3 linked regions of the Neodiprion lecontei genome follow. The main gene of each other region encodes a partner of the protein of the gene in region 3 in a complex. Links are inferred from orthologs where the notes say so. Each region holds a gene or a part of one and is shown on either strand. Other genes may lie near its edges.

Evidence for each region.
Region 1: integrin beta-PS (region 3) and integrin-linked protein kinase share a complex: the UniProt entries of both Caenorhabditis elegans proteins name them as parts of the integrin containing attachment complex. The link is inferred for Neodiprion lecontei from reciprocal best matches to the Caenorhabditis elegans genes pat-3 and pat-4.
Region 2: integrin beta-PS (region 3) and unc-112-related protein share a complex: the UniProt entries of both Caenorhabditis elegans proteins name them as parts of the integrin containing attachment complex. The link is inferred for Neodiprion lecontei from reciprocal best matches to the Caenorhabditis elegans genes pat-3 and unc-112.

The regions. Positions count from the first base shown.
Region 1 is NC_060266.1:7,821,725-7,834,298, reverse strand, and holds integrin-linked protein kinase, read left to right. Parts: upstream 1-4,072; 5' UTR 4,073-4,443; coding exon 4,444-4,532; intron 4,533-5,710; coding exon 5,711-5,876; intron 5,877-6,113; coding exon 6,114-6,306; intron 6,307-6,393; coding exon 6,394-6,474; intron 6,475-6,805; coding exon 6,806-7,248; intron 7,249-7,741; coding exon 7,742-7,972; intron 7,973-8,048; coding exon 8,049-8,195; 3' UTR 8,196-9,063; downstream 9,064-12,574. Other genes in the region: SOSS complex subunit C homolog, read left to right, coding at 930-1,088; rRNA N6-adenosine-methyltransferase METTL5-like, read left to right, coding at 1,112-1,495. UniProt on the Caenorhabditis elegans protein: Probable pseudokinase that acts as an adapter protein. Component of an integrin containing attachment complex, which is required for muscle development and maintenance.
Region 2 is NC_060263.1:389,519-399,728, reverse strand, and holds the start of unc-112-related protein, read right to left. Parts: upstream 5,894-10,210; coding exon 5,755-5,893; intron 5,677-5,754; exon of another isoform or gene 5,350-5,676; intron 5,258-5,349; exon of another isoform or gene 4,405-5,257; intron 1,202-4,404; exon of another isoform or gene 1,061-1,201; intron 1-1,060. Other genes in the region: acyl-CoA Delta(11) desaturase-like, read left to right, coding at 9,213-9,456. UniProt on the Caenorhabditis elegans protein: Component of an integrin containing attachment complex, which is required for muscle development and maintenance. Probable regulator of cell-extracellular matrix adhesion. Required during initial muscle assembly to form dense bodies and M-lines.
Region 3 is NC_060261.1:40,083,946-40,093,836, forward strand, and holds the start of integrin beta-PS, read right to left. Parts: upstream 6,550-9,891; 5' UTR 6,398-6,549; intron 4,339-6,397; 5' UTR 4,337-4,338; coding exon 4,166-4,336; intron 4,055-4,165; coding exon 3,751-4,054; intron 3,611-3,750; coding exon 3,382-3,610; intron 3,117-3,381; coding exon 3,032-3,116; intron 2,695-3,031; coding exon 2,047-2,694; intron 1,951-2,046; coding exon 1,627-1,950; intron 1,343-1,626; coding exon 1,142-1,342; intron 999-1,141; coding exon 501-998; intron 1-500. Other genes in the region: uncharacterized protein LOC107220248, read left to right, coding at 8,721-9,891. UniProt on the Caenorhabditis elegans protein: Integrin alpha ina-1/beta pat-3 is a receptor for laminin. Integrin alpha pat-2/beta pat-3 recognizes the sequence R-G-D in its ligands. Plays a role in cell migration, morphogenesis and probably in cell-cell interactions.

The sequences.
Region 1 (12,574 bases), on a different chromosome or scaffold from region 3:
TAAATATAAGTCATAATAAACCTATGAGGTTAAGGTTCGTAACGTTGACGCAACAGAATAATCGAAAACAAATTTCAACTTTGAGGGTTCGAACCTTTCAAAAACAGTAAACTGCACTACATAATTTTCCAAGTTGATTAAGACATTGTGTCCTGCTTATTTTGCAATTATAACAATATTTGAGTCACAAAATTGTGCTTTTTCCGTGTATCTTATTGCATTAACGTTATGAATTTCAAGCTGCTAAAACTTACGTTTTCATCAACCTACATAATTTTCTCTTTTCACGCTTATGCTTTAGATCGTTTCGAGTACGAATTTTCACCCATTGTGGTATTCTCATAGTTATGTAGTAATGCATGATATATGATACAATTTCATCCTTGTGTTGTTCGCTAGGAAATGAAAAGCTGTAATTCTGTATCATATCAGACACAGTAGGTTCATATACAAAGGAATTCTCAGATTCTATGTGCTCACAGAAGTATTTGATCGGGGTTGAAATGTTTTTGGCAAACATATTGAGTCCTTTTTATAACTATCCCAGTAAGAGCAATTGTATCTCTCCATTTATTACATATTTCGATTGCTTTGGGAACGGTGAAAAAAGATATATCTTCCCTACACTCGTCTTGCGCACGTTGATGACAAACATGACTCCTGCCCATATTTAAATAATGTTTTTTTTCTCATAGTTTATAAATATCGTGTTATTGATTTGTTTTGAACACTGCGTTTTGCCATTATTGTTTACAATGGTCCTACAGATCTGTAACCATCTGGTGGGCGTGCAACGAATTATGCTAAAATAATCACAAGCACTTGGCATTGCGGGGATAGGGCAGCCCGACCACCTATTATTGTTACACTGTGGTTTGAATTCACGTGGATCGCAACACTATCGCACTTTAAATATTTTACACTATCAGCAGAATCCTGCAACAACGGTGGATGGTATAGCATTGAGTGCTTCTCAAAGTGCAGCCCTTCAGAACGCACATGAAGCCTCTACTGGGTTCTTCGTCGCCCAGGACTCGGCCTTTGGTAACTTGATCCTGCCAGTATTCCCGAGGTTTGAGATCCAGTGAACTACTATCAGGCATATACAAGAATGGTTATTGTGACTATAATGGTACCCATGCGATTCAGAGAGCTGGAAGAGTGTCTTCAACAATTAGATGGATTTGAAGAGCCAAAAATTCGTCTTGAACAATATTCCACGAGCGCTCACATCGGGGCGCACATCCTGCACACAGCATACACACACTTTGACGATATAGGAGGAAAGGCTATTGCTCACTTGGGTGCAGGGTGTGGGGTACTATCACTCGGGGCCCGACTTCTTGGCACTAGTCATGTCGTCGGATTTGAAATTGATGCCGATGCGCTGTCCATGCTCAAAACTAATTGCCTTGAGTTAGAAACTGATGTCGAGGCAGTTCACTGTGACCCCAGTTGTGATGAATCTGCCTTTTGGCTCAAAACGCAATGTTAGAACGGACGTCAACTTTTTGGAGACAACAGTTAGTATTGCTTGACATGCCGTCTACTCTCTCCACAAGACTAGCACCCGGGATCATGTGGTTAGGACTGCAAAACGCCTTGGAACAACGGCAAAAATCGTCGCTGAATTACGATACGATCTTCCTGGAGCGTACAAGTTTCACAAAAATACTTCCATTGATGTCCAAGTCGATTTTATAAGACTTGAATTGGATTAGGTAAACAACATGAAAAGACACTCATCCTCACTAATCAATTTCTATGTGTAAGCATAATGGAAGATTTAATAAATTTGTACAGAAATAGTGTTGTAGTTCTTTTGTTTTGTTTCATTGTTATTTCTACCTGCATAAATTATGGTTTGATTTTTTCACAGTTCACTCGAATTTGATCCCTTGAGCCAAGGGTAATTCATTCCCATAGTCGATCGTTATTGTTACCCGTCTGGCATAGTGTTTCCACGCATCACTCCCATTCCTTGTCCTCAACCAGTCGCTTTTTTCTCCACCAAATGCTCCAATTTCTGCCCCGCTATATATCTGTATCTACAATACTCTGGTACGACAGCGCAATTAGTGGGCAAACAAGGAAAACAGTTTGGTCACACTACGATAACAATCTCCACCACTTAAAAATAGCAGAGTTCCCAGGCCTGTGTGCGTTGACTGAGAATATATCATAGTTTATGGGATATATAAAGACTGACCATGATTATGTGGCAGCTTTGGTTGTCAATTGCAAAATATATCACGTGACTGGGTTTTTGTACCCCAAATTGAGAAAGCAAAATGAGTGTCAAGTATGTCACAAAGCCTTTCAGTCAGTTAAAGAAAATGATACTCTTGGCGAAGAAGAATCGATTAATATGAAAACCAGAGGTGGTTCAATTCATGGCAATATATTTCTGTTATCTCTTTCATTAGCAATTGAGAAATACTTCTGTAAGCACATAGAATCTGAGAATCAATCTGTATATGAACCTACTGTGTCTGATATGATACAGAAGTACAGATTTTCATTTCCTTGCGAATAACACAAGGATGAAATTGTATCATATATCATGCATTACTACATAACTATGAGAATACCACAATGGGTGAAAATTCGTACTCGAAACGATCTAAAGCATAAGCGTGAAAAGAGAAAATTATGTAGGTTGATGAAAACGCAAGTTTTAGCAGCTTGAAATTCATAACGTTAATGCAATAAGATACTCGGAAAAGCACAATTTTGTAAGCACACTTAACCAACTTCGAAATCACAGTCGCCGAGCCGCAGCCGTACCACCTATTATTCCATATCATTCTTACACCGTGGTGCCGGTGTTAGCCTAACTTTTTGCAGATGCTTTACGATACCGTCACGAGCGCATGCGCAATGCCGTAAGATAGAGATGAAGCTACATATTGTGTATATATATATCAGTGACATATTATGACGCTATCTCTTTCGGCTCGCTCATGGAGACTAGAGGTAAGAAGTCTGAACGCAATGCTAGCCAAATGATCGGTGAAAGTGATGAACGATCCGCGGATTGTAACCGCCTGGCAGCGCTACCACTGCAGGCTCCGTCAGCGCGGTGATTTTGAATCGTCGATCCTACGTATGTATCCTATTCGTAACCAGGCGCTGGTATCGCTTGCGGATACATCCCGTCTACAAGATTTTTCATCACTTTCACGAACCACTTTTCGACGATTCCGCCATATGCGTTCGGACTCCTTTACTCTAGTCTCCATGGGCTCGCTGCTCCTTTGTGCCGTGTAGGCCGTGTAGGATAGCAGGTGTAGGTTTCAGTGTCGTTGCTGTGGTCCGTGTCGACAAATAAACGCTGCATTTCCGTAATGCCTGGTCTACACATACGCTGTAAGTGGGGGTCTTAAAGTGCGCCTCCATTAAAGCTGATGTGTAGCCGAGTTTATATGAACTTCAAGCGCCTTCCACTCAAAGATTTTCTGAATTCCACTTTAAGCTCAATTTTCAACGAGAAGTAGTGCCAATCGTACCGAAATGACAGATTAAAATCTCGCGTGGTTTGAACCCGTTCTTTGTGCTTTGTTCTTTTCCTCGGTCGGCATTTTGCCGTAACCAAGTTTGGTACATATTTATTACTTGAACAATTATTGATATGAAAATATAATCCATGTTCAAGTATCACCAGAGTTTACAACAAACAAAATGAGTTTCGAATTACAGATGAGAGATATGTTGATTATAAGCTATTCAAAAAATGAAAAATAAAAGATAGGTAAGTGATTATTAATTAATGAATAAAATTGCGGAGAACATTGCATTATATTGCTTCATATATTGTATTACTGAGGTTATAAACACTAACTGACAGTTTTTAAGTTCTTCTCGTTACTCCGTTTGATGGCTAACAAGACTTTCTAACCTTCGTGTAGACCAGGCATAAGCAGTCGGTAAGCGTAGGGCATTGCCGTTACTTCCGCACCCTTTCGCTTCTTCAAAATGCCCTATTGAGCTGGCCATCATGAGCGTTCTTTAGCCAATGGCTAAATCGGAATGTCGATCATGGCAGTGCCATCTAGAGACAATTCATAGAAGCTTGAGACGAATGAATCTGGGAAGCAGCGATATGATCCCGCATGCGACATCGCACGATCGCACACGGTGATTTATAATTAGAGATGTCAGCGTAAAGAGTTACACAATATTTGGGTGTGTGCCGATGGAGTTAGAAATACGATCGACAGTGTTAACGATTCATAAATTCTCATCCCAGAGTTAAAATCGTCGAGTTATACGTTTGGTGTGTCCAGTAGCTAATTGCAGTTTATTACAATCATTGATATACGTGCGTATAAATATGGTTATATTTAGAGCGTGACCGAAGTTGCTCTTTTTCGGACGTGACGGAGTCGGCCAGCTATATTATTTTTAGAGAGCGTTAATTAATTGTTATAAACCCCTTTAACAATGGAGGATATATTTCACTGGTGCCGTGAAGGAAACGCGATGCAAGTTCGCGTCTGGCTCGATGACACCGAACATGACATGAACCAAGGGTAAGATCATGGGAGTTGCTCATTACCATTTATGGTTGAACGCTGGGAAGTCCGCTGCAGTTTCGCAATCAGCTGATCTTGACGTGTTTTCAGCACTTTTTAAAACTCTTGTCACTAGTTTCCAAATTATTGCAGGAATCGGAATAATCGCTACATGATGCAGGACAAAATTATGAAAGCTCTGTAATAACGAATCTTTTGATACATCAATGTATAATATTTTTTGTACGAGAAATTTCTTATCAAAACTCTACCACAATCTTGTTATGTTTTTTTCCTTAGCAGGAAACCAATGTCACCCATCCGTATTACTACACTGTGTAAAACATAATGCATATGCGTTGTACTTGGAAGACCCAACATTATTATGTCTGAAATTTTCAGTAATTTGTGATATAGTGAAACATACGCATATTTTGCTAACTACTTTTTTTGAATTCATTCCAGAATTACAGAATTTATATTGCTAATTTGACTACCCTCAGTCTCTTACCTCTGTAAATATGTTACTGGAATTTGATAAAATAATGAAAGAACAATTGTCACAGAGTGCCAAAATTGGTGAAGAAATGTTTGTCAAAGTTTCCTCTTGTCTGCACAACAATGATCGACTTGTTCACTTTACTTTTTAATTTGTAAAATCAGTTTTGTCAACAAGAAAATGAATGTCACTTTTATCTACATGAAAAAATAAATGATTATTCTTTTAAAATAATGTTTGAATCATAATCACAATATAAATTGTGAAGAAAAAAATTGTACTGACCTGACTTATTGAATTTTTTTTACTCTTTTTCTCCTTTGATAAACGAACTTGCTTCCGAAAAGAATAATGTTTGATTTTCATGTCTTGCCTTCCTTTTCTCGTATAATTTAATGCGCCGTGGGTCGGAAAAACCAGTTCAACATTTCGTAAATTTGGTGATACCCTGTTGATATTGTAAGCAAATATTATATGCAGTGACGATTTTCTTGACATCGACAACAAGAAATTTGTTTACGTTATTGCTCTTGATTATAGCCGAAAGGTAGGCATTATACAAATCAGAAATATGACTCATGTTCATGTAAATTTGAGGACAGTGCATTATTTTAAATATTACATTTCCAACTAACAGTGAATATTCAAACATTCATATAATTCAACTCTTGTTTCCATTTGTTTTAATTTTCATCAGGGATGATCACGGCTTTAGCCCGCTGCATTGGTGCAGCAAGGAAGGCCATTCAAAGTTGGCTGAATTGCTCGTGATGCGAGGAGCTCGCATCAATGCAACGAATAGAGGAGACGACACGCCACTCCACCTTGCTTCAGCACACGGGCATAAGGACATTGTTCAGTTGGTTAGTATTCGATATTTGTCGTACTCCTTTGTATTATTATAAGGAGAGCATCTGAAAAGTTACACCCCAATAGTCTCGAAATTAAAAACTGTGTTCAAACAACAAAGATCGGGTCAATAGTTTTTTGCAAATCTTTATCATAGATCAGCTAGATAAAATTTGCTCTTAAAGCCAATGAAAATATGTATCGGTGAAATTGAGAAATTTTTTTAATTGCAATTCTCTTCTTTTTTATAGCTGCTGAGAAATCGTGCCGATGTCAATGTGACCAACGAACACGGAAACACCGCTTTGCATTATGCTTGCTTCTGGGGTGATCAGGCGGTGGCGGAGGAATTGGTAGCCGCTGGAGCTTTGGTTTCCATCGCCAACAAAGACGGTGATACTCCGCTGGACAAGGCTAGAGGACCTCTGGCAAAAAGATTGCATGGTAATGGGATATACTTTCTCTTCTTTATTATTGTAAAATGTTATACATAATACCTAGTAATGAAGAAAATGTACTTCGTTTTTTCAGATCTCGCCGTTGAATACGGACAGGACTTGAAAAAGATTCATTTCAAGGATCAAAGTTGGCTTGGATTGAAAACCAGGAGCAGTGAGTATCAAAATAACTAAGTCAATGATTCAAGGCGTGGATTAAAGAAAGGCTCGAAACAATCGACTCTGTTAATATTGTACCTTTATATGCTTGTGATATTAGTAATGGTCAGTATCTTTTCTTAATCTGCGTCAAGTTAATTTGAGATTTACTCTTTAATTTTTTAACTTCTTCTCAGCTCTATTTTCTGCACTCTTCCATTATTTACATAACAAAAAATGCCTTTTGACGTGGATATGGTCGATTTTTCTAAATGAAAGTTTCTTGCGATCGTTCACATTTCCTCGCTATTGCAGTAAAACAGATGAGAAAATCCATGTTTTCGCAGGGGATGCAACTTTGTCAAGACACAAAGGAATCAATATGGCGGACTTATCGCTACATACTCACTTGGCGAGTAGTCCGAGCGGTGAAACCTGGAGAGGACGGTGGCAGAACAACGATATCGTGGCAAAAATACTAAACCTCAGAGAATGCACCTCTAGAATATCAAGGGACTTCAATGAGGAATTTCCCAAACTCCGAATTTTTTCTCATCCCAACATTCTCCCAGTTCTTGGCTGCGTTAACCAGCCTCCACAACTCGCGACCGTCTCTCAATACATGGCCAGAGGCAGTTTACATCGACTTTTACATGGAGGAACTGGCGTCGTTGTCGATACAGCTAGGGCGCTCAGATTAGCATTGGACGTTGTGCGGGCCATGGCTTTTCTGCACGGGCTTGAAAGGCAGAGCAGATGTAGATTTCATCTTAACAGTAAACATGTCATGGTAAGCAGGGGAAGCAAAAATTAAAAAAACACTGCGTAGTACGTTATCTGATCTTGCAACTAGGTTTCATTGAAAGACACCGTTACAGGGTGGCGACATAAAATCTAAAAATTTTGCAGGGAAATATTGGGAAGATATTTCTTTTTGTTTTTCAGAATATTTTCAGTTATTTTGTAATAATAATTGACGACAAATTGGATATCAATACGATTGCAATAAATCGAATAATTTTTCGATTTTCACTTTGATGTAACAATTACTTAATATTACACACGATTCTCTAAAAGGTACCTTGAACAGCATATGAGCATTTTTGAATCATGATATTGGGTATTAATGGCGCAAAAATGGCAAGGAAGCCGGAGAAAATAGGCTCATTAAATCAGGAAAATTAAAAAAAATTAAACAGTCCGATTTCTGGTGCTACTCTGTATTAAAATATTGAATTGTTTCATGAATCCTGAGAAGTGAGCATGTTTCTCATGATTTCCAGATAGACGAGGATCTCACTGCAAGAGTAAACATGGCTGATTCTAAGTTTTCATTCCAAGAAGTTGGAAGAATTTACGAACCCGCTTGGATGTCTCCGGAAGCATTGAATAAAAAACCTTCTGACATTAATCTCGAGGCCAGCGATATGTGGAGCTTTGCAGTCCTGCTCTGGGAATTGGCAACCAGAGAAGTACCGTTCGCTGATCTTTCCCCCATGGAATGCGGCATGAAGGTCGGATGCAGTTACTGCAATTCCAGCTTCCGTATGACAAACTTGCCTTAACGAGTCGAAATCTTATCTATTCCAGATCGCTATGGAAGACCTGCGCGTCAGTATTCCACCAGGGATTTCTCCTCATCTTGCGAAGCTGATTCGCATATGCATGAACGAAGATCCTGGTAAACGTCCCTCGTTTGATATGGTCGTGCCTATTCTTGATAAGATGAAACGCTGATGGGTTACAAGAAACCACATTGTGTTCATTTAATGTTCTTATTTTATATACACACATGCATGTATGTATACGTCGTAACAAGCACCAAACTGCTGCATTCTTTTAATACAATCTAACGTAATATATATAACATCGTATAACTTTTTCACTTGACTTAATAATAATAATAATAATTTGCATTCACATTGCATGTTCACATTGGTGCCTTGAATATTTGAAATAACTGTAATATTTTTGATAGAATCTATGTATACTATACAAAACTCCTGCCTCCATGATTCTTCCAACTTATCCAATGTTTATTATCATAGACTTGAACCATGAATATTTGTTGAACCAGTATGTTTCACCGAATACTCTCAGTATATTATTCATTAGTATACATATTATATATTTGTATTATACATTTTCACTTTATATACCCGTAATGGATACTTGTAAGCTGGAGTTGAAAGCTTTATCGTTGATGCCTTTGTACAAATTATCAATGTTTGATTTTTTAATATTCTACCGAAGGTCTGAGTTGCGTTCTACACTGTTTTATATACACCTATACATATATAATTCTTCAAATGTTGAATATTTATATGCATAAATATATTTATATTTATTTGTCGATGTCCGCTTCTTAGTGAAGAAAAAAAAAAAAAAAAATTGTAGAATTAAATGCTTGTCTTGACCTGCATTGTGCTTGCCACAAGGAAACATCTGCAATACTCTGTAATTGTCCTTGACATTTCTTTTCGCAATTTTTAACGCTAGAGATTAAAACAATGTGTATTTTTAAGTCTAACGATCTTGTCAATTTATGTTCAAGTTTCATTATTTACAATTCGCCAAAAAATAAATAAATCTCAACTAAATCATACATTGAGTTTCAATACGGTCTGCAAATTCGGTTGGATGCAAACCATGTTTTATCGATCACGTCTTATCAAGAAACAGGTCTAATACAAAGTGTCTCAACTATTTCATTCCTGCCGTAAAATACCTTATACTTAATACTAATTATGCAATACGCATGGTCTGTCCTTGTTACAATATGTTTTTTTATTAATTACGTAGTTTTATATACATCCACCAATGTCACAATATCAAATACCTATCAACTTTTGCGTAAAAAACAGTTCATTCTAATCAATTTATAGTTGTTCCCATAAATTTCGATATGTCCTAAAACGAAGTCCTGCAAAATTTCTAGTTAATTACGAGACATTGCTTGCTAATAATTGAAAACGCAGAATATCTTACTGCTAAAGATTGTTTGATATCCGAGGATTGTTTATAATGTGGCCTCCATTTCTTGGATAGGTAATGTAAATGAGGGAAAATAATATGGATTAGTGTGGAACAGGCATTTTTCTTTATTGGAGATTAACAAAAAATTCAAGTTCAACTTTCCAGAAACCTCTTATCACCTCAAGTTCACCTGCCGTTGTAAGAATCTTGTATTACTGTCAATCACAGCGATATTGTGAATTCAAAAAACGGTGCAACGAAACTGTGAATGATAAAGCGATATCTTTTGACAACTGAAACATTTATTACACAACTTATATAATTACTGTTAATTCATGAGCATAAGAAATCCCATTTGCACTTGATTTTTGTTTCTTACATAAGCTGAACGTACAATCTATTCGGATAAACTTATTTCGACCAAAGAATTTTTAATTGACAGGATTAATGGTTATTCTCGATAAATATAAAACGCGATTGTCTCTAGATTGGCTTTTAAACGAATTACTTTTCTGATGTCAATTACATTTCTTGTGTGGTATAAGTTGTAATCGCGTGAATTCAAATTTAATTGACTATAATTATAGGATTGAGTGCAATGAAAAGACGGGTCATTTATAGAATAATGTGTTTCAATTATTTCTCTCGTCAGACTGATCATTCAATTGACATTAACTTAAGTTGAGACCAAATTCATTGACCAGGAAAAATATATTATATTCAGCTTGTACGACGTATTCACATTATTTGAAATTGGGTGAGCATCAATTCAGTTTCATAATCATTTATCTGTATGAAATGTAGTTGAACGATATTTTTGTTACAATTATTTCAGTTTCAGTATTTTCTAATCTTTATCATCGTATGAAGGTGATATTAGTGATATATCGAAAAAAGCTAGAAGGAATTGAATGATTCAAAACTTGAAAGATTTAGGGTCAAAGCGAATGTTGACAAGTATGGAAAGATTAAAAAAATTTTTTTTTTAAGTATCCCTTCTTATGTCAAATTGTTTCACTTTTACATTCAATTCGCTTTCATTTGCTGTGATATTCAATTCGGCATACTCAGCTGCTATTTGATCGATGTTGTGTATAGTATAATTACTTTCTATACATCCTCAAGGACAACACCCTTCTTCTTATATTGTGACGTACGCTGCAGACAGTCTGTAAATTGACATACACTGCATATTCAATAGCCTGGCACTTGAATACTATTAAATACTTGCTTACTGAATTGCCTGATATTGAAGACTGACGAGATCAAGGCTGTCGACATAATCAGTGCAGTAATAGTTCTCGAATCGTAAGTATAGTATAGTCACTTGTTATCGCGATAGAAGAAATTTTACGACTACCAAGAAAATCAATTTGTTAACGAATTCCACGATACATTTTTTCCAGAAGGCGCATTGAAGTAGGTTGCCCATTTTTTCCGTTACAGTGAGTTTTTGTTTCGGGATTTAACAAAAATAAAACTGCAATCAATTACAAATTTTCACTGATATTCCACTAATTTCCAGTGCATATACACTGACTTTCGCCAGTGGTATACTTATAAGTGATCCGCATTCAGAGAGAAAGATAATAATTGGTGAAATCAAAAGTGGTCAGTTTCAATCGCATATTGAGTTGGCATGCATGCCCCATATTTAAATTTTCCAACTAAAATCATTGTCAATATATTGTGAATTTGAAATTTATGACAGTGAAATTATGAATCCATTATAAGAAATTTTCGTTGTATATTACAGTGGACTGAAGGTATTGAAAAAAAAAGAGATTGAGATAACTTAGCTGTTTAATTTGAAATTAAATTATCCACGACATTAGCGAGTAGTTGAAATTATGTGAGATCGATTTCAGCCTCATTACTAACGGAACTACAGGAAAGCAAAGGAATTCTTGAAGCAGAAAACTAGATTTTGTTGGAGCTGATTCACTTCAATCCGATATCCCTTATTTGTTCCAAATACGATGACTTCAACAATTTCAATTTAGTTAGTTGGTTAAAATGATTTAGTCAAGCGAATTTCTTGATTCAACTGAAGCCTTTCTTGTCGCAATAGAGTGAACTATTGATTCGAGTGAACTTTTTGATGTGTTTTCCTAATTGGATCAACTAAATACCATTGCATTCGAAGTTGATGTATTTTTCCTCTAAGTCGCATGTCCGTTGACAGAAACAATTGGGTTAGGTTAGGTAAATATACTTCAAGTAAAATAAATGCATGAATCTAGCTAACAAAAATTTACATCGATTAAATGCCATTCTTTCTTATCTAACCGAAGCTTGTTTGGCGTAACTGGTTGAATCAGTTGCACTAATTTATTTACGAGGTAAAAGAAAAACCACATGCTTGAAACAGGTAGAGAGTATATTCGGCGTAATTATCGGTATGCTAGTACTATTAACGTCCGCTAGGCGGTGAACTTTCTCGCTACGGAAATAGCTTCAGAGATATTTATAAAGTCGGGTAGTCCGCTTAGCAGATTCGGGGATGACGCGAGATAATACTGTCGATAAAGATGTAACGAATGAAATACAGCATCTATTAGCAAGGTGTTGAGACGCTGGAATTGTGATTAATAATAACATTTAAGAAATATATATGTATAAGGCGCATCTGATCATAGTTAAACATCTACGCACACGTCAATCTATCGAGTTAAAACTATTAACTTATTCAATAGGATGGCCTGGCTCTAATAAGAGTCGGAAGCCCAGCCGTTAAGGTGCGTCGGATAAAATTTTGAGTTATTTCAAATACACATTTTGTTGATACAAAGTTCTCATAATCGCAAGGAACTCACGCCGTGCTATCTTGACTAAAATGATCGTCAACATGATCATTCAAAGGCGGCTTGATTCGATTCTATATTATGTTCTCATATGTATTTCGCCCGACAAAAATATTTTGTTGAATTAAAGAAGTATTGTGTTCGCCGTATTTGACTTAAGGATTAGTTGAATCAAGCAAATATTACTTGACTTGAATTATCGTTTCCCTCCGTTCAGTTATTACATATTTTTACTCAAGACCCACTTAAGGCTCCAGAAAGTTGATGTTGATCTAAGAAAGATTATAGCACTCGGGCTTATTCACTTGTTGGATTTTTACGGAGTTGTATGGGATC
Region 2 (10,210 bases), on a different chromosome or scaffold from region 3:
GTTCTTTTCTTTCTTTCTTTTTTTTCAATGGGGCAAGAACACCGAAAGATTTATAGGATATCGCCACCCCCCTGCTCCGTTTTACCTACCTTATTATACATTTATACCACCTTCGTACAAGACGTGCTCGCTGCACACCTACGTCACGCATAAAATCGGACCGACAAGGCAGAGAGAGTGAGAGGCAGGCGTTATACGCACGTCCGCCCTGCTCGCCGTAAAACGCGTGTGTGTATATACGAAACAGGACGCCTACGACAAACGAACTCTGTAATACCGAATCCAAATGTATTGAAAAAAGAACAAGAAGAATAAGGTGAGGATAAAGGAGGCTACCGTAAAGTGTCGTAAGCATGGCGGGCAAACGTCTTCTGACACGCATACCTATACGTGTCAGAGGTATGAAACCCACACGGACCACACGTGTGTATACGCCACACATGCAATATGTATAGCGACAAATTTAACCGAGATGGAAGTTGCGAGTATAGGCGACGCGCGTCATTGCGATATTATATCGCGAGATATACGTAAAAGGCAGTGTCGCTGCCTATACGTATAATGTGAAACGAACAAGCAATGCGCGAACTTTTAAAAATTCCGCTACATCATTCCTGGACTAATGCAATTAAATCGTAAAGTAATTTAAAAAAAAAAAAAACACAAAAACAATAATATGCTTCAATTAAGAGATTTAGTCATTTCCCAACTCGCTCGCCGCGTTCTGTGGCCCAGATTCTATTCTTCCGTTCGCCGATTAGATCGCGTGACGAATGACGAATTGATAAATTCAGCGAGCTTGGCAAATCACTCATTATTACCAGATTGAAGTTAGTAACGTTTAATGTAACGAAATATTGAAACTAAAATCAATGTTTTGAAAATTTAGAACGACGTTAAAGGTGTTTAATTTCCAAAATCTGCACAGCGCTTTTTACTTTAAAAAAATATATTACTCAATTCGAGAGGATCCTGCAATTGCGAAATAATGATTTCTCGTAAAAATGAATCGTTAAGTTAACGTTAGGAACTTGACCACCTTTAATTATTGACCCAGGTTCACGATGCGGATAGACGTTTGATAAGACTGGGACACGCGTACAGCGAAGAGGCAGAAGAGGCAGTAAAGCTTGTCAGCATCTTTGCGCCAAGACTGCATTCCTGCCGCATTGTTTCTCAGAATTTTCAACAACTCTGGTAGGTAGGTACGCCATGTGTGTGTGTACTTTCGTTTCGATGCGTGTGCGCGTGTAGCGGCTATCTAAGTCAACGCTATAGCACGCGATCCACTTGGACGTAGTATGCTGTGGCATTTCATAACGAAGAAAAATTTCAGAGAAAGAATTTTGCTCTCCGGTCTCAGCATCAAGCTCCGTCAATTCGTTATCATTGTATAAATATATTATTGCACATGTATTACGTGCGCTTGCGTAACGAGCCGTATGCAACGCGTTAGCAAAAATTACCGACTCATCGAAACATACTGAAGTTAGTAACGTTGTCGTAACGATTTCTGCTGAGGAAAAACCGTTGTTACTTCACGATTTTGAAACTGTCTGAAATTGAGTAAACCGTAATAAGAAAAAAACATGCTCATATTTTGCAATCTTAGTTCCTTCGAAATCATTGTAAAAATAAGATTTTTTTTGTAATTTATTCCCAGTCTTTCGTCGAGCGAACGTTACCAACTTCAACCTCGTCTTATTTAACACTAACGATTGCACCGCACGTTATATCATTTACGAACATAGCGTAGATACATCTTTCTCCTTTTTGTTCTTCGACTTTTTGTTCTTCTACTTCTTCTGTACTCGTACAATCAATCCGTCAGAATAAATGTAATTAAATTACACGTTCAAACCTTCTCTTTGATGCCGCACGCGAATAGAATTTCAAAAATGACGTACACCTATAGCATAATATGCGCCAGGCATGAATAACAGGAGGAGAAAATGATACGCAATAGCGAACAATGAATGCGACGATCGTTGACCGGAATCGCGGAGCGATAAGCGCCGGGTCTCTTCCGCTCTCGCCATTTCTCTGTTTTGTCATTCGTTATACGCATGTATAAAATCTTTACGCTGCTCGTCGCCGAAGCAAAATGGTAACCAGATAACTTGTGTTGCAAGACGAGAATCGAGACTGAAATTGCGACGACTCGCACGGTCAGCTGATTGTTGTGAGGCTGGATCACGAGCGAAGCCAGACGCTGGCGGTTTTCTCATGCTGCACTACCGTTACTCGCGGTCCTCCTTATTTCGCCACATGCGTTGTTTCTACACGTGCATATTGTACATGTATACAAGGGTGTGTCGCAAAACCACGTTTTTCGAATTTCGACGCGTACTGGTGCGGAAAATTTCGGTCTTGACAAAAAAATATTGAGTGATTCCAAGGAGAACATTTTTGGTTAATGTTTTCAGCTTGAGCAAACAGTTTTAAATTTAGGAATTTCCATACTACAGCCAAATTTTCCCGAATATAGTAAGGAAAACAAGAATAATCAATACTGGTTCTTTTTTTCAATAGATAGCAGGTAGTAAATAGGACTTTCCTTATTTTCCATTTTGAGCTGCATCTCTCATCCGTACCACTATAAACTTTCAAATAATATTACAGTTTTCAGAATGATGGATCACACTTGGGTACACATAAAAGGAAAACCCTGAGTCAGTAATGTGGTCAGAGTTAAGTCGGGAACAGAGCCGTATACGTAACACGCGAATAAGACTCGATTATTCCCTTCTTACACAATGTACTGTAATATTAATTTCCTTATTCTTCTCCACGTCTCTCGTACGCGAGCATTTCATTTTTACGTTATAATAATAAACAACAAACGCCTGCGTTATTACGAGACTTGGACGTCGTTGTTTATACGCCGGGTTTGACAAACTCTTATTACCATACAATGCAGTTACGGGTCCCTAATTCTTACAATCAGCCATATGACGACGAGAGAGACTCTCTGCCTCCCCCCCACTGCTCGCGATAATTCGTACAATCATGCATTTACATTGGCCTTTAATACGCTATTTATATGTATAAAGAAATTACATCCGGCGGGAGGATTGCATGTGTATATGACGTACTACATGCCTGGGTGCGAGTGTGTAAGTATGTTTCGAGAGAAGAACGGTACAACGGAAAGCGCTGCAACAGAACCGTGACACATATCCTTTATTACGTGCATAGCGCGCAGTTGAAGAAAGTATTACAGTATGTACGATATTCTGTAAGCGCATCGACGCATAAATATGAAGGCGAGATGAACATTCGGAGGGATTTGACGAAATTGTGGTTTGAAAAGCACCTGCAGTTATACGCGACACAATATATACATAACGCGTAACCTGTCGAGGAACGCGCGCCACGCGTGTATACGTATACGCATGTATATCTGTAGGGTAGATTGTACGGGAGATCGGAGATAGAGATTATATCGCCCGTCGGGATTTCTACCTGCCGCTCTTCTTCTCGACGACCCCACGTGCATATAAGCCTCGTAACCCCTGAACCCCGAATACATCAAAGCCGATTCAAAGTATCACACACGAGTTCACACGGTGCGTAATGTTTGTTTCATTCGAAATACCGAGTACAGCCGACGAGTACGCTCTGCGTGCATATCGTTAGAAGAGTGCGATATTACGCAAAATGCGGATAGGAAGGGTTGTTTAAGGGGATGCCCTGGTCGGTTTCGACGTTGGACGTATATATCTCCGAGTATCGAAGTCCACGTATCTCAAACGCGAAAAAAGGGTTTAATAAGCCCCATTCGTTACACACGATACTGAACAAAAACACTCCAACGCATTTTCATTTAGACGCAGAAATAAAGTACTGGCACGATTTCCATGAAATCCCAATAGTAGATTCGTAGATTTCATGCCATTTCTTTATTTATTCGTCAGATGAAAACTCATCGGAGTGTTTCTGTTCAGAATTGTGCAGAAAATGGGGTAGTTTAGCCCTATTTCGCGTTTGAGATACGTGTACTTTGATACTTGAAGCTAGGTAGGACAACGTTGAAATCCACTGGGTCACCCCCTTGAGGAGCGATGAAGTTTTTACCACAAAGCCTGGCACGAGCACGGGTCTATTATCCAATATTATCTCCGTGTCGCAAGGTGTTAGTTTAAAATAAACGTGAAAGGGCGGAGGCGCGGGATGCCGTTGCATGCACACCGCACAGTATGTGCGTGCGTACGGGCATGTACGAGCTACATTGATATGTATATATATTATATACACATACATATATACACACAGATCTGGAGGAAGGGGAGGTGGTGCGTTTATAACGCAAGCCGGCGCGGCGTGCGGCCGCCTAGACAAACAACCAACGTTTCGTTTCTCCTCCTCGACTCGACTCGACTCGACTCTACGCCACGCCGAAAATACACCTTTGATGATGCCTGACGTTCGGTTCGGTCGGCCTGACTGCTTGCTTGCTTGCTTCGCTGCCTGCCTGTCTTACCGCCGATAAAATACGCGCGATCTCCCGGTTAATATCATCGTCCGATTCGGTTGTGCGTTAAACCCTGTCACAAGTCACGTAGCGCAAAACGACGGTCGCATGTGGGTTTTACTCGTTTTACTCCCAAGCATGTACGTACACGGTTTGAGACTGAGACGAGGAGACGGCGGTCAGTTACTACAGCGAATGGGTTTATTGAAAGTGTGCAATTGGCCGCGCCAACGGAGCGACGAGACGACGATGAGAACGGGCCGATTCAATTCGAGATGATGAGGCTGAAGTCTGTAACGTTAACGTAACGCGAAAGATCTGGGAAAAAAATCGTCGTTGCACAGTTTTAGAATGACTTTTCAAATAGTAAGCTTTTCGAAAATAAGAGTACATGTTTTGTTTATCGTGGTTTACTAAATTGCAGACATTACTAATAAATGGTGCAAAGTAACGATTTTTCCTTAACATGCATCGTTACAGTAACGTTACCAACTTCACGCTCATTATTCGAGGCGGGTCTTCTTCCGTAACGAAGCTCGTAATCGCGGGGGATCAGCTCGTCTCCTTGTGCTATTTTCGAGGCCGTAGGTTCATGACGCGATTTCTGAACCGAGTTTCGCGAGGTTAAAACTGTTCTTCTTCTTCTTCTTCTTCTGCTTCTTCTTCTTCTTCTTCTTCGAGAAAGCAAGAGAGGAGGGGATAGAGAGTGGGAGATTAAAGGCCGAAGATTAACGCCGGTCAACAGTAAAAATCAAGCCAGCGTAGACAAGAGCCGCGCTACCTGTACGGTCTCCGCAATGCGTCTCGCTCTTCCTCCTTTTTCTTCTTCTTCTCCTTCTTATTTTTCTTTTTCCATTTCCTTTTCTTCTTTGCAGAAGTTCGAAGAGCCCCGCAACGCAGGAACGGCGGCTCCAGCCATCCAGCGGCTGTCCGACCAAGAGTCAGAAGAAACAAGAAAACCGAGACGGCGGCGGCCTCGAGCGTCGCCTTATGTATAGTACACGCAACGACGTGTGTAAATATCGATGCGTCAGCGTTAATCTTGGAATAACTTCGAATGAACGAAGCGCGGCTGATGCTTGCACGGAAGCTACAGCCGGACCGAAGGAGTGCGGATCGAGTAAACACGCGGTGAAGAGACGGTGACGGGTGATCGGATCGTGATGCCGATTTTCACTTTTCGATACACAGGCATATGTGTGGTACGGATATATAGGAATATGGATATATATATATATATATATATAGAAATGCCTGTCGCTAATTGGCAATCAACTCACCAAGGTCTTCGACGAGACGAAGCATGACGCCACCGATGTGAAGTTCCCCCTTAACCCGGAGGCTTCTCTCGACCTGGAGATCGGTCACGAAGACGCGCAGCACCCAGCTGCCGTCGACCTCGTGTCCGTCGGAGTACATCCTGTTTAGCTGACGATGGCCTGCGAGCCGAGATATATACCTGCGAGCGAGCGAGCGAGTGAGCGATTCCGGATTTCAACGTTCGACGCACTTTGCCCGGCTGCCTGCCTTCTTCTCTTCCCTCTTCCCTCTTCCTCTGAGCCTTTGTTACGCTCTTCGAATCAAATCTCGCACTATAATCATGGCTGGAATTTCTCTTCGTGTAAAACTTTATCGAACGACGAGAACAAAACAAACGAAAAAAAAAAATAAAGAACAAACTTTTGCAATACCTTTGCGCGCGGTTTTATTTTATTTGCCTTCGGAAGGACGAAAATTCTATCCGCCTTGGAACGCGCGATCTTAACTCGACACCGACACACCGGATCTACGTTACTATATATCTTCAGCCTTTTTCCACGGCTTATCGACAAAAGTTTTCTTATCTCCCACTCGAGCGACCGTTACGCGACTCGACGACAAACCAGAATACTCCGGACGGCTCAGCGGTCTACGCCGTACAGAGCCATCCGTGCTTGTCCGTCCCGGTCCCCCCCTTCAGCCGCTTCGCCCAACATCCACGACCGACTTCCGTTAGCTCCGCATCCCGTTTTCGTTCTTGTTCATTGGTCGCCCACCTCGTGGCGCTGCGAGACGCATCTGATTGTAAGATCGAGTCCTACCTTACCGCACGCGGTAACTTGACGTTTGGTTACCCACGCCGTGGCGCTATTTTTGAATTCCGTACCTGAGTAATCGGGAAAACAGAGAACCGTGTTAAAATTTCGTACAACTATAAACGGTGTATAATATGAAAAATAATTATTACAAGATTTGCAATACGGTGTTTCTACTAACGAACCTTCCGATTAAGAACTACGATCGATTAATTGTTGCTTGTAATTCCTGCCAACCTATCGTACGGACTGCTGCAGCGTCGAAAAATGAAACTGCTTAGCGGGAGATAGTCGGATAAATACGAAACCTCGAAAATATGTACTTGGTATATGTACTTTACCCTTGCGAATTCACAGAATTCGCGACATTTTCTTTATTTCTGCGTCAAATGAAAATGTATCGGAGTGTTTATATTCAGAACTGCGTATAGAATGGGGTTGTTAAGCCCGTCTTCGCGTTTGAGGTACGTGGACTTTGATATTTGGAGATATATAAGTCGGCGTCGAAACCAATCAGGGCAACCCCTTAATATTATTAGATGCTTCAAAAATTTGTGCGGAGCATCGTTTGCAAATCTCAAATTTACAAAACTGACTGATTAATTTCGGAAACAACTATTTTTGGAAATACTTAAGGTTTTCCTGCGGGTTTTATAATAAAGCACTTGATCACAAGGGTCGATAAATTCATTTTCCCGTTCCATTCTCATTCGTGGACGAGGAGCGGAAATTTAATTATTTTCGCATTGACAGTACTGGGAAATAAATCTAACATCCGATCCCTTGTGTAATCAGCATCTAACAACACGCATGCCTTTTCCTTTCATACTGTATGCAGAGTCTGCGATACTATAGATATATAATAAATATTCATGACACAAGTACTTTTATACAGAGTAAACTAGTAAACATTTATGCAATAAAAAGTTTCAAGTTCCAAATTAATTTTCATCGAAAGGGCGGCGTTGTAGAATACTTGAATAATCTGCTCCCCTTACGCTAATACAGCTATAAATGAATTGAGTCTGCATCAACATTTCTAAATAATAAAACCGTATTCAGTTTGAAATTGTAGAAATAGGAGCGGGTAGCGCATAGTATTTCGAATTCCTATCAATAATTCATTGAAACGTGACCTTGTAGTGGCATTAACGTCGTTCTGTCCTTTCCTGTCCGCCAAAACATAGAAATCAAATCAAGTATCTGTCGCGGACGCTTGGCAGGTATTATAATTTCCAATGGTTAAATTAACATCGTTCGCCAATATTTCTATCATAATTTATGTCGCTTAGATCGATAGTACTTTGTTAAAGGTCACTTGCATGCTGTCGATACAGTGAATTTCCTTTCTGGTCCACGACGTTCGTAACTTAGGAAATGAACGGAATCTCTAAAAATTATATTATCACTGAAAGAACGAATGATCGATTTTAACCCGTAATAAGTTATGTCGCACGATCGACCTAATTTTCTAAAAACGTTTTCTTTCATCGCTGATTGTTATTTATCGATTGTTCAGATGTCGTATTATCTTCGTTCACGCCTCATGACGGAGGATCTCATCGAGGAAGATGGGGATGCAGGTGAAATGATCAGTAGTAAAATGAGCCAATAAATTTTTGGAGATGGCATTGAATTATTTTATTTTTTCAAGCCCTGAATCACCAAGGTCGACGTTTGAAACAAATACACGTTTTAAAACACACCGTACCAAACTATTTTTTTATTTTTTTTTTTGCACGAATGTGCGATGCCGCACAAGTACCGTCTTGAAATTTCGCCAAGAAATATGAAAAATTGAAGAAGTTATGAATTTCTAAGTGAAGATCCGTGTTTTGTCGAAAAAATTTTTCTTCAGACTATCAAATCAAAATTTTACAATTAATCACTGAGAGCATATTTTTCAATATTCAAATTACGTCTCTAAATTATTTCACGGCAATATAACGCATCATCCTGCTTCAGTAATCGCTCAAAGTTGACTCCTGTCAAATTTACCCTGTGTAATCGTTATAAAACTGTACTGAAGTACAATCAGTACGGGTTGATTGGGCGCGAGAATTATTTTTGAAGCCAAGAATTACGAAAACGATAGGATAATAAACAGAATCTGTCGTTACGTAAACTTGTCGATCCACTATTTGAGTGAACGTTTATCTGGAAATTAAGAATTCGTAGATTAAAATACCCACAAGATGTAAATATGTCTACTCAAGGAACTGTCCAAACCCTACAACCTCGGCGTACAACCGTATTCAAGTCTACGACTTCGTTATCTGTTGGACAGATCCATCACTAATATCATACCTTACAACATCGACATTTCGATACGAATGATCGGCATAATCCGTCACGTATCGATCAAGGATTATCTCATAGCATAAAGATCTACCGAAATGTATGTGCATATTATGTTTTCATTATAGCTCCGAAATCTGAAATACAGACACAACTCGACTCGAATTTTGGAGGTAGCTATATTTAATTTGACCACTGGTTCTCTCCCACGACAGAATCTTAGCCTACCTTTGCCAATTATAAATACGAGTCGGCTCTTCATCACTGTTCCAGTGATAGCAGTGATTTTGGCTAGTTGAATAGTTTCGACGGTCTCAGGTGCTCCGAGAGGCGGTATCCCGTTTTAATATACCGCAGTTTTCGAGATGTCCGTCACACTCGCGGACGCTGGTGCAGCTGCACGTGATGAAACAACGGTCGAGAAACTATGCGAGGAGGCATACAGAGAGAAAATTGCCGAACACTGGACGTGGAATTACATTTGGAATAATATCAAATGGAGTCAGTTTATTCCCATGGTAATACTCAACGTTGGATTGGTAGGATCCCTGACGATGTACGCCTTCGGACTACATTCGATACCCATTAAACCGATGACCGTTGCTTGGAGTGAGTTATACGAAATCTAGCCTAATTTATTGAAGTGCTTCAAGCTGATATTCCTGAATCTAATACGTAAAGTCGGCATTCAAGGCGGTCCCTTCGTTGATTGCTAAATTTATATTAAATAAAAACTTTTTACGAACAATTTAAATGAGGTTGAAATTCGTAACGTCAACGTACCGAAACGCGGTGAGAAAAATTGTAATCTCACATCATGTTCGGAACATTTTTCAATGAGTTTATTTTGCAAAATATGAGCTGACTTTACTATGTTTTGCTTAATCTCAGACAATGCTAATGTTGCAAAATAATCCGTTCTGCCGAAAATGCATCGCTTTAATAATGCTACGAACTGCAACCTCGTCAGTATAATCCGTTGATTTCACTATTCGAGAACACTGCGATGAACGTTAAATACGTGTCATAATCTTCAATGAAAAGCATTTTTTACAACCTTAGGTTTCGATGGTTGATTTGTGTTACACCTCCAATTATAGCCGATCACCTAAGGTGGACGTCTGAAAGAAGATTTGCTTGCACAAGAGAAAATTCATATTTTCTATCGAACTAAATATCTCTCATAAGTTCGAATGATTTACGATGCATCAAATTATGACTATTTTGTACGATCACCTTCGTAACAACAAATTTTCTCGCGTTTACAGCGCGTCATAATTTTATATACATATTAAGCTAATGCCCTAGCACCAGACGATTGAATTTTATTTCAGAAATTTGAACTTTTCGTAGGACTGACTGT
Region 3 (9,891 bases):
TGAGTATGTTTGTTAGGGCTGTTTGGTATCAGAAATTGGTTAGCAGTTTTTTGCTAAAAAATGTTAATAAGCATACACTTCGATATACTAGAATAATGTTGTTTCGTATTAAGAAAACCGGAGATCGCCGAGAAAAATGCGAATTTTGAATAACTAATGAAAAAAAAAATATTGTGGTAAGTTTAAGAGCTGCTCATCGAATATCTTAACATATCTAATCCACCGACTGCACGAAAACAAAAACTCCGATCGTTGTACAATCGTAAATATTTTCGTTTTCATTATTTCAGTTATTGTGTATTTCAGTATCTTTTGGTGTTCCGGTATTTCGATAAATCGGTATCGATTATACTTCGCAGAGAAATGAACAAAAAATTTTTGGTATACAATAATTCCGAAATATGATGCCCCTAATGATGTTATGTCAAATGACAATGAGACACAAGTTATGTGAGTACATATTAATTACACAATTTATAGCAAAAAATTAATATGCTTACCGTGTCCCACTTAGCCATCATTCTTTCTGTTTCAAATCGCGCAAATTCCCTACGATCGTGAATAGTAGTCAACAATTTCCAAAGTAATAAAAGAGCCAAGCCAATGAGTACAATCGCAGCGATGACTCCCAGGACGATTCCGAGCATGAAAACTTGGGTCGGGCATTCTCTTTTTTCTTGCGCTGCGACAACTACTTGATTTTCCGTTTGGTTGAAGTAGTAGTAGTATTTCACTTTACAGTTATCCTCGTCTATATGATGGCAGAATACTTCATTCTCAGTGGTTACTAGTTCGACTGCCTCAACAGTAACGTTTTTACAATTGTTATCGCAATCTTCTTCTTTACTAAAATTGCCAGTTGAATATATTTTGCATTCAACGCAATTTCTGAACTCAATACAACGGTCAGGACAAGTTGGACATTTTTCACAGAAGTCTCCTGAATGACGTGGATTTCCATCCTCACGACAGACACACTTTCCGCAAACGCAATCACCCTAAACACAAAAAAAATATAACAACTTAAAACAATAAATATGCTTATAGTGATTAAGCTTTGTACAAAAATGAGTTAACTTGACAATTCCAAAGCAAATTCAATTTCACATCACATTTGTTTTCTTCTAATTACAAGTCTTACATGGCCTGAGCACAAAATGTCTTCAGTTGATCCTGGAGCTTTACAAGTCTGATTTGATGATGGGCAATTGCAATCTGGTCCAGTCCATTCGGGCTCACACCTGCACACACCACATTCACAGGTTCCATGATTGGAGCATAACTGACCGTCGTGACGATCACATGAGAAGTTATCGCACTCACAGTACGGTCCAGAAATCACCTATAACAATATTAGATAAAGTCTCTCAAACTATAATTCCGAATATGTATTATTCTAATATCTTCGCACTTCGATACTGTGTAAATTTATATAATTTTCGTAAATCGTAGAGAAGCCTATCAGATATAAATCTGATCACAGAATTACTGATTAATCTTTTTGTTTTTTATTTAGTGCAATCGATCAAATAAAAAACTTTAAAAATTATAATTGAGGCTATTATCAAGCATCATCATCAGACCTGACATTTTGAATACATAAAATTTAGGAAGTTGAAAACTTACTTCATCAGGGTTTTGTCTGGTATCACAATCGCATACACCACAGGCACAACTACCTCTTCCAGAACAGTCAACCAACGATGTATTATCCGGTCTGCAGCTTTGATAATATTTGTCACGCATAACGGACTGATCACTTTCGTGATGACGCGTACACTCGCATGTTTTACCAAAGTACTGGTCGTAACAATCACAGACCCCGCATTTTAAAGTGCCCATTGAATTGCACTCAGGTGAATTTATCTGGTACATGGGGTGCGAAGCATGTTCACAGTCACAATCACATATCATGTGGAGATTAACAGTCAAAGTTTCGTTGATACCGACCTGAAACATCAAGGAGGTATTAGCTTTTCAAACTAAGTCTTCAAATTTGATTCTCTCAAACCTTTATTAGCCATACTGCAAGTTTGAACTACTTACTGGATAAATATTGAACTTTTGGTTCCATTCAGATCTGTTTTTAGGACAGCTGGTAACTTCAATTTTCGCAAAGAAATCCACTTTGGTACCAACTTTCAAGCCATCGCATTTCGATGTTTCTATCGGGGGACCAGCACCCAAACAGCTCGAGTAGTATCTCACTTTTATGCTACTACTGGCTGTATCTTTCATTTCCACAGAACTGGAAATAGCCTCGTATTGTTCGCGGATCAAATCCACTACGTTACTTGAGTCGGCAGATAACTTGCCAGCAAATGAACCTTCGATATGCTTTGTAAGCCTTCTATATATCTGGATTTGACCCTCAGTTACAGCCCAAATAATATTGATCGCATTCTCCTTTACTTTGAGATTAATCTGCGATATACTGGGGTAATCTTGCGATGTTGATTGAGTGTACAGCCCACTGTAGTCGAGGTGGCATAGTCCGTCATTAGGTTTTATGATGCCACCAAGCTTGCCATCCCCGGCGTAGTGAAATCCTGCGTCAGTTGAAAATACCAAAAGTCTGCGAGCTTTGGAACGCCATCCTATCTTATCACGACACACAATTGCTTGCATTATAGCATCAAATCCTCCTTCAGGAGCATCTAAGTTACCAGACACTGATGCACGACGAACCAAATCCTATAATCGGCAAAGCAATGTTCAATTACTATGCGAAATCAAGTTTTCTCACCATTAATAGTCATTTCTAATGGAGTTATAGCTTGAAAATCAATTTAAGTGACTAGTTCCATTAAAATGTGCATTATTCAATATTTAATGATAATAATAAATTGACAGAAATAATATTGTACATCATCGCAAGGAATGCGCATTTAATATTGCATACGTTATTCAATCTTTGAATTAATAATTGGACACACATATCAACACAATACCATGTAGTGCTGACATATTGCATAAATATCATAGATACAAATTATTATGAAGATGACTAATAAAATTTAGATATACTTACAGCAAAAACACTAGTATTTTGTGACAACGTCATGATGTGCTTGTAGCCATACGGTTTTGCACAACCAGGACATGGTTCCTCAAGGCTGAAACATAAAATTTATTTTTTACTTCTGCTATATGAGTATTAAACAACTTCAAGGATCGTTGGTTCTGTCTTTTCTAAACTTCTCAATTCCTGTAATATTTTTTGTAATTCAATTTTTGAGCAAACATAACATCTGACAAATATATAAATAATAATTTGTTGATTGCTTTTCCAAGTCTATGCACACATTCACCAACATTCAACAACTGTTCACACCTTAGATACAGTATGGATTTGAATGAAACTAAATTTTCATTACTTACGACTTAGGCACAACGTTGAAATAGGGCATAACTACTTTGTCGACAAAGCTACCAAATCCCAAACGAAAATTACTTGTTATTTTAGTCATACTTTGCACCAATAAATCTCCCAAATGTGACAACTTCTCTTTATCATCCTCCATAGACTTGCTCAAGTCCATGAGGTAGTAAAGATCAACTGGATAATCCTCGGCTTGAGAGTATGAAAAAGACATAGTATGCACCTCATCTAAAGCAATGGAAAAGACGAATGAAGTAATTATTGCATATAAGAATAAAATTCACTGGTAAAAAATATTGTTAATAATTCAGGAAATAGCAAAATTGTCAACAATTAGCAATAATTGGAATTTGAAAAATCTCACTCACTTATCCTAAGGGTCAAATCGACTTCTTGAGGCCAGATTTGAATCGCCTCCTGTCTCCTACTACCACTGCTAGAACTCGTATGATTAGAGCTAGAGCTTGAGGAAGACGATGAGGAAGACGAAGAAGAGGATGAACTTTGCTCAAATTCACTACCACCTGCTACAGATGAATAACCACCCTTTGTTAATTCCGCGTGCCGAATCACATCATAAACATTATTCGGATACCGCGTATATTTCTTTGGGCACGTAGCATATATTTTTGTGTTTATGTTTGGCAAAAAACACCTCATCTCCGAAAATTTCTGTGAACATAGGAATACATATTTTACATATACTTACAGATGTAACAACAGGGTAGCCCATTCCGTTACATAGGGTTTTTTGTTAACATAGAAAAAAATTATCCAACTTACAGGAGCAGCGCACCAAGCACAATGTGGAGTTTGTATACATTCGTGGCAGGTTTGCTTGCTGATACAGGGATTCATTCCAGTGAGTCTTTCAGGTAGAGGGTAGTCAGCTTTGACAGCAACAAAAACTATCGCTGTGACAAGGGCCAGGGCCCATTCTAAGCTGCCAAACATCCCTGTAGATCAATGGATATGTGTTACATTCTGCATATTTCACTGCAACCGAACAAGTATGAATTCATACCTCAACAAATTCAGAACCGCTGTACTGCACAGTTTATTGAAAAGGATTGCCCTTATTCAATGCAATCGCAAAATAAAAAACCAATATAAAAGTATTAAGCAAAGGAAATTTGAATCTAATGCCGCATCTGTTAATTATGATGAAATTGAAAATCCTACTAAAATAAAAAGGCAACTTCATTGACACAATAGTACACAATGGTACTAAACATTACTATGCAACAAATTACACCTTTCGATATCAATACTGAAGAGTCAAATTTTTTAAAATTTATTTACAAGCGTGTGAATTCCTGAATACAGTCTTGTAACAAAGTTAGCAGAATATTAATTCTAAATAAATAGACGTTATCTTCTGACATTCAGTTGCCCTACGTATTCCTGGTTAGCCATATGTGGTTATACAGAAAGCCTTATAAGGATATCGTGTGACAGTTGAAAATTAACATGAAAACAGATTATGCTGTCTACTTGGAATAATAATTGAAAGAAACTGGTAGATATATGTGAAACTAAGAGAGAAATAATACGCATTCTAGTAAAGTGTAAATTACTTTGTACAGCAAGAGGATAATGAAATTAAGTATAAAATAAAAGTACAAGAAATGTAAAATTTAAGATGAAATGAATTCCAATGAATCAGCTCGATGATAAGTACACTGACCATTGAAAAAACCCACCACAATAAATGTACAATGAAACATTATCCGTTTTATTTTGCAAAGTACCGGCATCGTGCATTGCATAAAGTAATCAAAATTGACATATTTAAGTAAAAATTAATAATACCAATTAATGTTATCATTGTAGCTAAATATAATACTTCTTTGGTCAGTTAGGATTCTTATTTCTACACCCTCACATTTAGCAACAGGAGTCTATTATTAAGCTGCTGAGTCAGATTTTCTTAGTAAGCCAAAGGTAAGACATCATACTTTTACTTGGTAATATCACATGCTGTGATGATGGTATCTGGTTGGTCATATTCGTACGTGAATGATTATTGGCATGAAATCATCCGATATACATGATTCAATGTCAATAAATTTGATTAAAAATTACTTTTCCTCATCCCTAGATTACGGAAAAATCACTGAAAATTTTCAATTGTAACTGAATACCAAAATAATACGTTATACTGCTACGTTTAAGAACACAAGCTGGAAACATGCATACTTATCTCAAGAGCAAAAGTGCAAACAAGAAAGTAAGATAATGGATTCACTATATAGAACTGAAACATTTTCTTACAAACTTGTTTTTGGATATCACATTTTTTTACCAAACAAATGGTCGCATGAATGGCGTATACAACATTTTTGCATCCATATTAGCAAATTTTATAAACAAGAGCGACATCTGATTGTATAATAATTAATAATAGGTTGAGAATATTGACAACAAGCAAAACAATGTATCTAATTTGTAAACGGGTGTAGCGATTGTTCGGTACTAATGAAAACGTGAAATTTTATTTCAGTAATTGTTTAATTATCTAATTAAATTTAAGAGATGGATCCGTTTGACTTGCAGGGTCGAGGAAATTTTTTAAATCAAATGTTTCTTAGATTTGATCGAAGGATTGATATTTCCTCACTACTTCTTGTGACGCACATTAATAACAAGAAGCGCTTTCGTTTCGTAGAACGTTGTCATAAATGGTATTTGTACTTGTGAAATGCGCGAGTGAGGTGCGGCCGAAAACCAGTTCTCCCACGCTATATTTGTCCCTTAAGAATAAGGTTTTTGCCCAGTAAATCGAAGGGTGATAACGGTGATATTTTTGGGACAAAGATTTGTTCCACTTGCAGATCATTTAGGTTTGAGAACACGTCTCGATTACCCATCCATTAATGCCGTCATCTCTATATTTACAAGACACCGCATTAGCATGAAAAAGGTTACGGAGATGAGAATCCGTGAACCATAAATTTGATATACGTATTTTTAACTCGGTAAGGCCGGATATGAAATTTGATATACATTTCTTACTTTCTAGATTTGAAGGTGATTATCGGCTGTCCTTATAACATCACAAACTCCGAAGAAATAATTTCACAACTTTGGATCACCATAAAAGGCAACCCCACACCGCCACGGAATAACGACTCAATAACGAGCCGTTCGTTCAACGTCGGGTAGACGACTGGTCACTAGAGTTGGACAAAATATCAGAAGAGTTATTTCGAATTGAGCATATGCGAGTATTGTTATATCGATGAACTCACATCCGTCCCGTATGCACCCGAGAAAGACCCGAGATTATCCGATTATTCACGATAACGCGCTCGTTACATCTCGCCGAATGCACTTTCCAAATAAGCGGGAAATTCAAATAAGCTTATTCAGCTCTAATGATGATGTCTAGTGTACTAATTCGGTACGCGACTATACGACTATTTTTGCGCCCAACCTCGCCGACTGTTCACAGGAGTATGTATGTTGTATAATATTTCTCCAATCCTGCCTTATATGTTGATTACTAAGTATCTGTACCACAACCGCGTATCCGCTAGTTTCCGGTGGGAAATCAGCGACGAATTAGTCATCGTTCAATGATGATGCGATCATTCAGCTGCGGCTACAAAATCTAAATAATCTTGAAACATAATACAACTTTGCATGCATATAAGGTTCGTGTTTCGCAAGTAAGCTGCAAATGTTACGTATTCGGATTTTAATTATGCGCCTTCAGTGCACCCAGAAACCCTATTTGCAAACAATTTATATACGCACTTACTAAATTTTACATCGTGTATATCAGTATATCGAAAAAACTGAACTTCACAGAAACAGAACTGCTTAATGTAGAGTTTATAATTAGTTTTTTAAATCGCAAATTTTCCTTATAAGTTTTTGAAACAGTGACTGACAATCACGCAGGTACGGTGTTACTCGATAGTTTTTCTTATCTACAATTCGCATCCCGCAACCACAGTTGATATTATTATTTATATACATATAGGAGCAGGGTCTAAAATTAATTTATGCCATAAGCTAGCAAGTCTGTGCCCGAAGTTCTGAAAATACTGGACGTAATGTAACCTTACAATTCAGTCGTATTTGAAATCCGGAAATGGAATTGTGTAAAAATACGTTGCCCGCCATATTGATATATTTTGACAGCCTGTGTTGACAGCTTCATTTGCGAGGGAAACAACGCATGTCAAGAAATCAAAATATCCTGATAAAATCCTATAGTTCATTTATTGTACAAATATAGTTTCTACATGTATCATGAGTGACACACTTTCCTCTTATTCCGGCAGCTATGTACAATACGCACGCCAATTCGACGAGGAAAAAACAGCAAAGCTTTATCGGAACATAAAGAAGGTTAGCTTTGACAACTTGAACTGCACCGTCATAAAAAAAAACTCATAACTCAAACTGTATTTTCAACTATCCTTTTCTTGGTTCTCAGACGCTTCAAGAGGTGCAACAAATCGCCAGCGAGGTAAATTGTAATTATAAAGAACTCGAAGAGAACATGAACCGTGCAGCGCGACTCATCACAGCAATCCAAATCTGTAAAAGGCGAGAGGCTGAAGCGACGGCATTGACCGAAACAAATGACTAAAACTGTAATAAAAGGAATTTATTCAATTAATAAATAATCAAATTCCTATTCTTGATGGCCGTGGTTTTTTTTTTGTTCTTATTTGATTTTCGCGGGTCAAATCGTAATATCTCGCTTCAAAACGCAAGCGATGACTAATAAAAAGAAAAAGAAAAAAAATCCCTAGATTCTGTCTGCTACATCCTGCTGTCAAACCTGTCATCGTAATTACACACCACATTATACGCAGAAGTGTACGATTTATCGGAAATTAGACTGAATAATACCCGAATACCAATGAAAAATCAAAACTGGAGGTGTGGTTTGTGATTATCTGTTGATCTATCTACTTTGGAATGCCGAAATTCAATCGTAGAGGGTAAGTCGAGAGCTTTGAAAATCTATACCAACGTCAGCAAATTCGAAATATCGAATATTCTATTTTTATTCTTCACGAGATCAACCTCACACGCCGCTATATATTTACCGAATTTACTTACGCTACTTAATAGTATAATCAAATTTCGTTATTTATTCCAGTAACCAAAAGTTGATTATCATATAAACGCATCCGAAAATATGTCTTATCACCAGTACATCTTGAAAGTATGTTTTTTATTTGCAAAAACACGATATAGTCTTTATGTAAGTATTTGATTAGTATACATTTTTCACGTATCCTTTATGTTTTTTCAGCAATATTTGCCAGTGGCCAATCAATTGAAGTGAGTAACCATATAGCTATGCTCTGATAAGATGCCAGCAGAGACGGAGATGACGGCACTTTCCTCTGATCAAGATGATGGGAAAAGTTCCGCTATGCTAGATATGCCTGAGGCTATGAACAACAAGAATTTTCCACGTGAGGAGCGAATTATTAACGAAAACACAGAGAATTTTGAAAGCAGATTTTCGATTGTTGACAACCACAATGCAACCACCAGCAACGTCATTGATGACGTTGATAGTGGGGGAAAAAAACCGTCCGATAATTCAATTAGCATCGCTAAAAGTAAAAAACAAATTACGAGATGTACGGCAAATGATTACAAACTTAGTCAGACATTGTTGGTACCTGAACAGTCAATTAATGACAAAGGTGTCCCAGGTGGTATGGAAATGTCAAGAGATGGGTCGATATCAACTGATGATATAGAAATAATAGACAAAACCATGAATGTATTAAGTGGGAGTAACGCTTCATCACTAGGACGTAAAGAGTTGATAAGAAAACAGTTTTTGTTTCAGGGCTCTGCTCAGAGCCTGCCAAGTACAAGTTCACTAACTAATTCAGCAAAAGACGGTACGAATATAATGCCAGAAATTTCTAGTACTGATGTGTCTAATACTTTTCGTGATGTGAATACGGGGATTAGAAAATCTTTGAGTAAACAGAAAAATTTCTTGCAACCACAGTCATTTGGTACAGCTGAAAAAGATACGAGCGATGACAGCCAGTTTAATTTAATATCTAGTAAACCAAACTTAGCTAGTATCAGTGCTATAGAAGAACCTAACCAGAATTCAATTCATCACATCAACAGTTTAGACAAGAACCATAGCAATTCTCTCGAGTTATTAGTTAGAGAAACCACTGATACTCAAAAACTACCTGGCGAATCATTCAACTTTGCAGAGGATCTCCATTCTCTTCCTCTAAAAATACCCGCAGAGTTTTCAAGCTTCAGAGAAGAGTCGCAAAATTTTTCTCCAAATATATCTGGGGAATCAGCAGACTATATGGAAAAGCCTAACTCTCCAACTGTGAAAATACCTGGTGAGTCCATGAGTTTTGAAAATAAGGCATTAGACGCTCCTGTACCTGTAAAAATGCCTAAAGAAGTTTTGAGCTGCAGAGAAGAGCCTCAAGATCCTTCATTAAAAATACCTGGGGAATCGACAAGCTTTATACAAAATCCTCAATCTC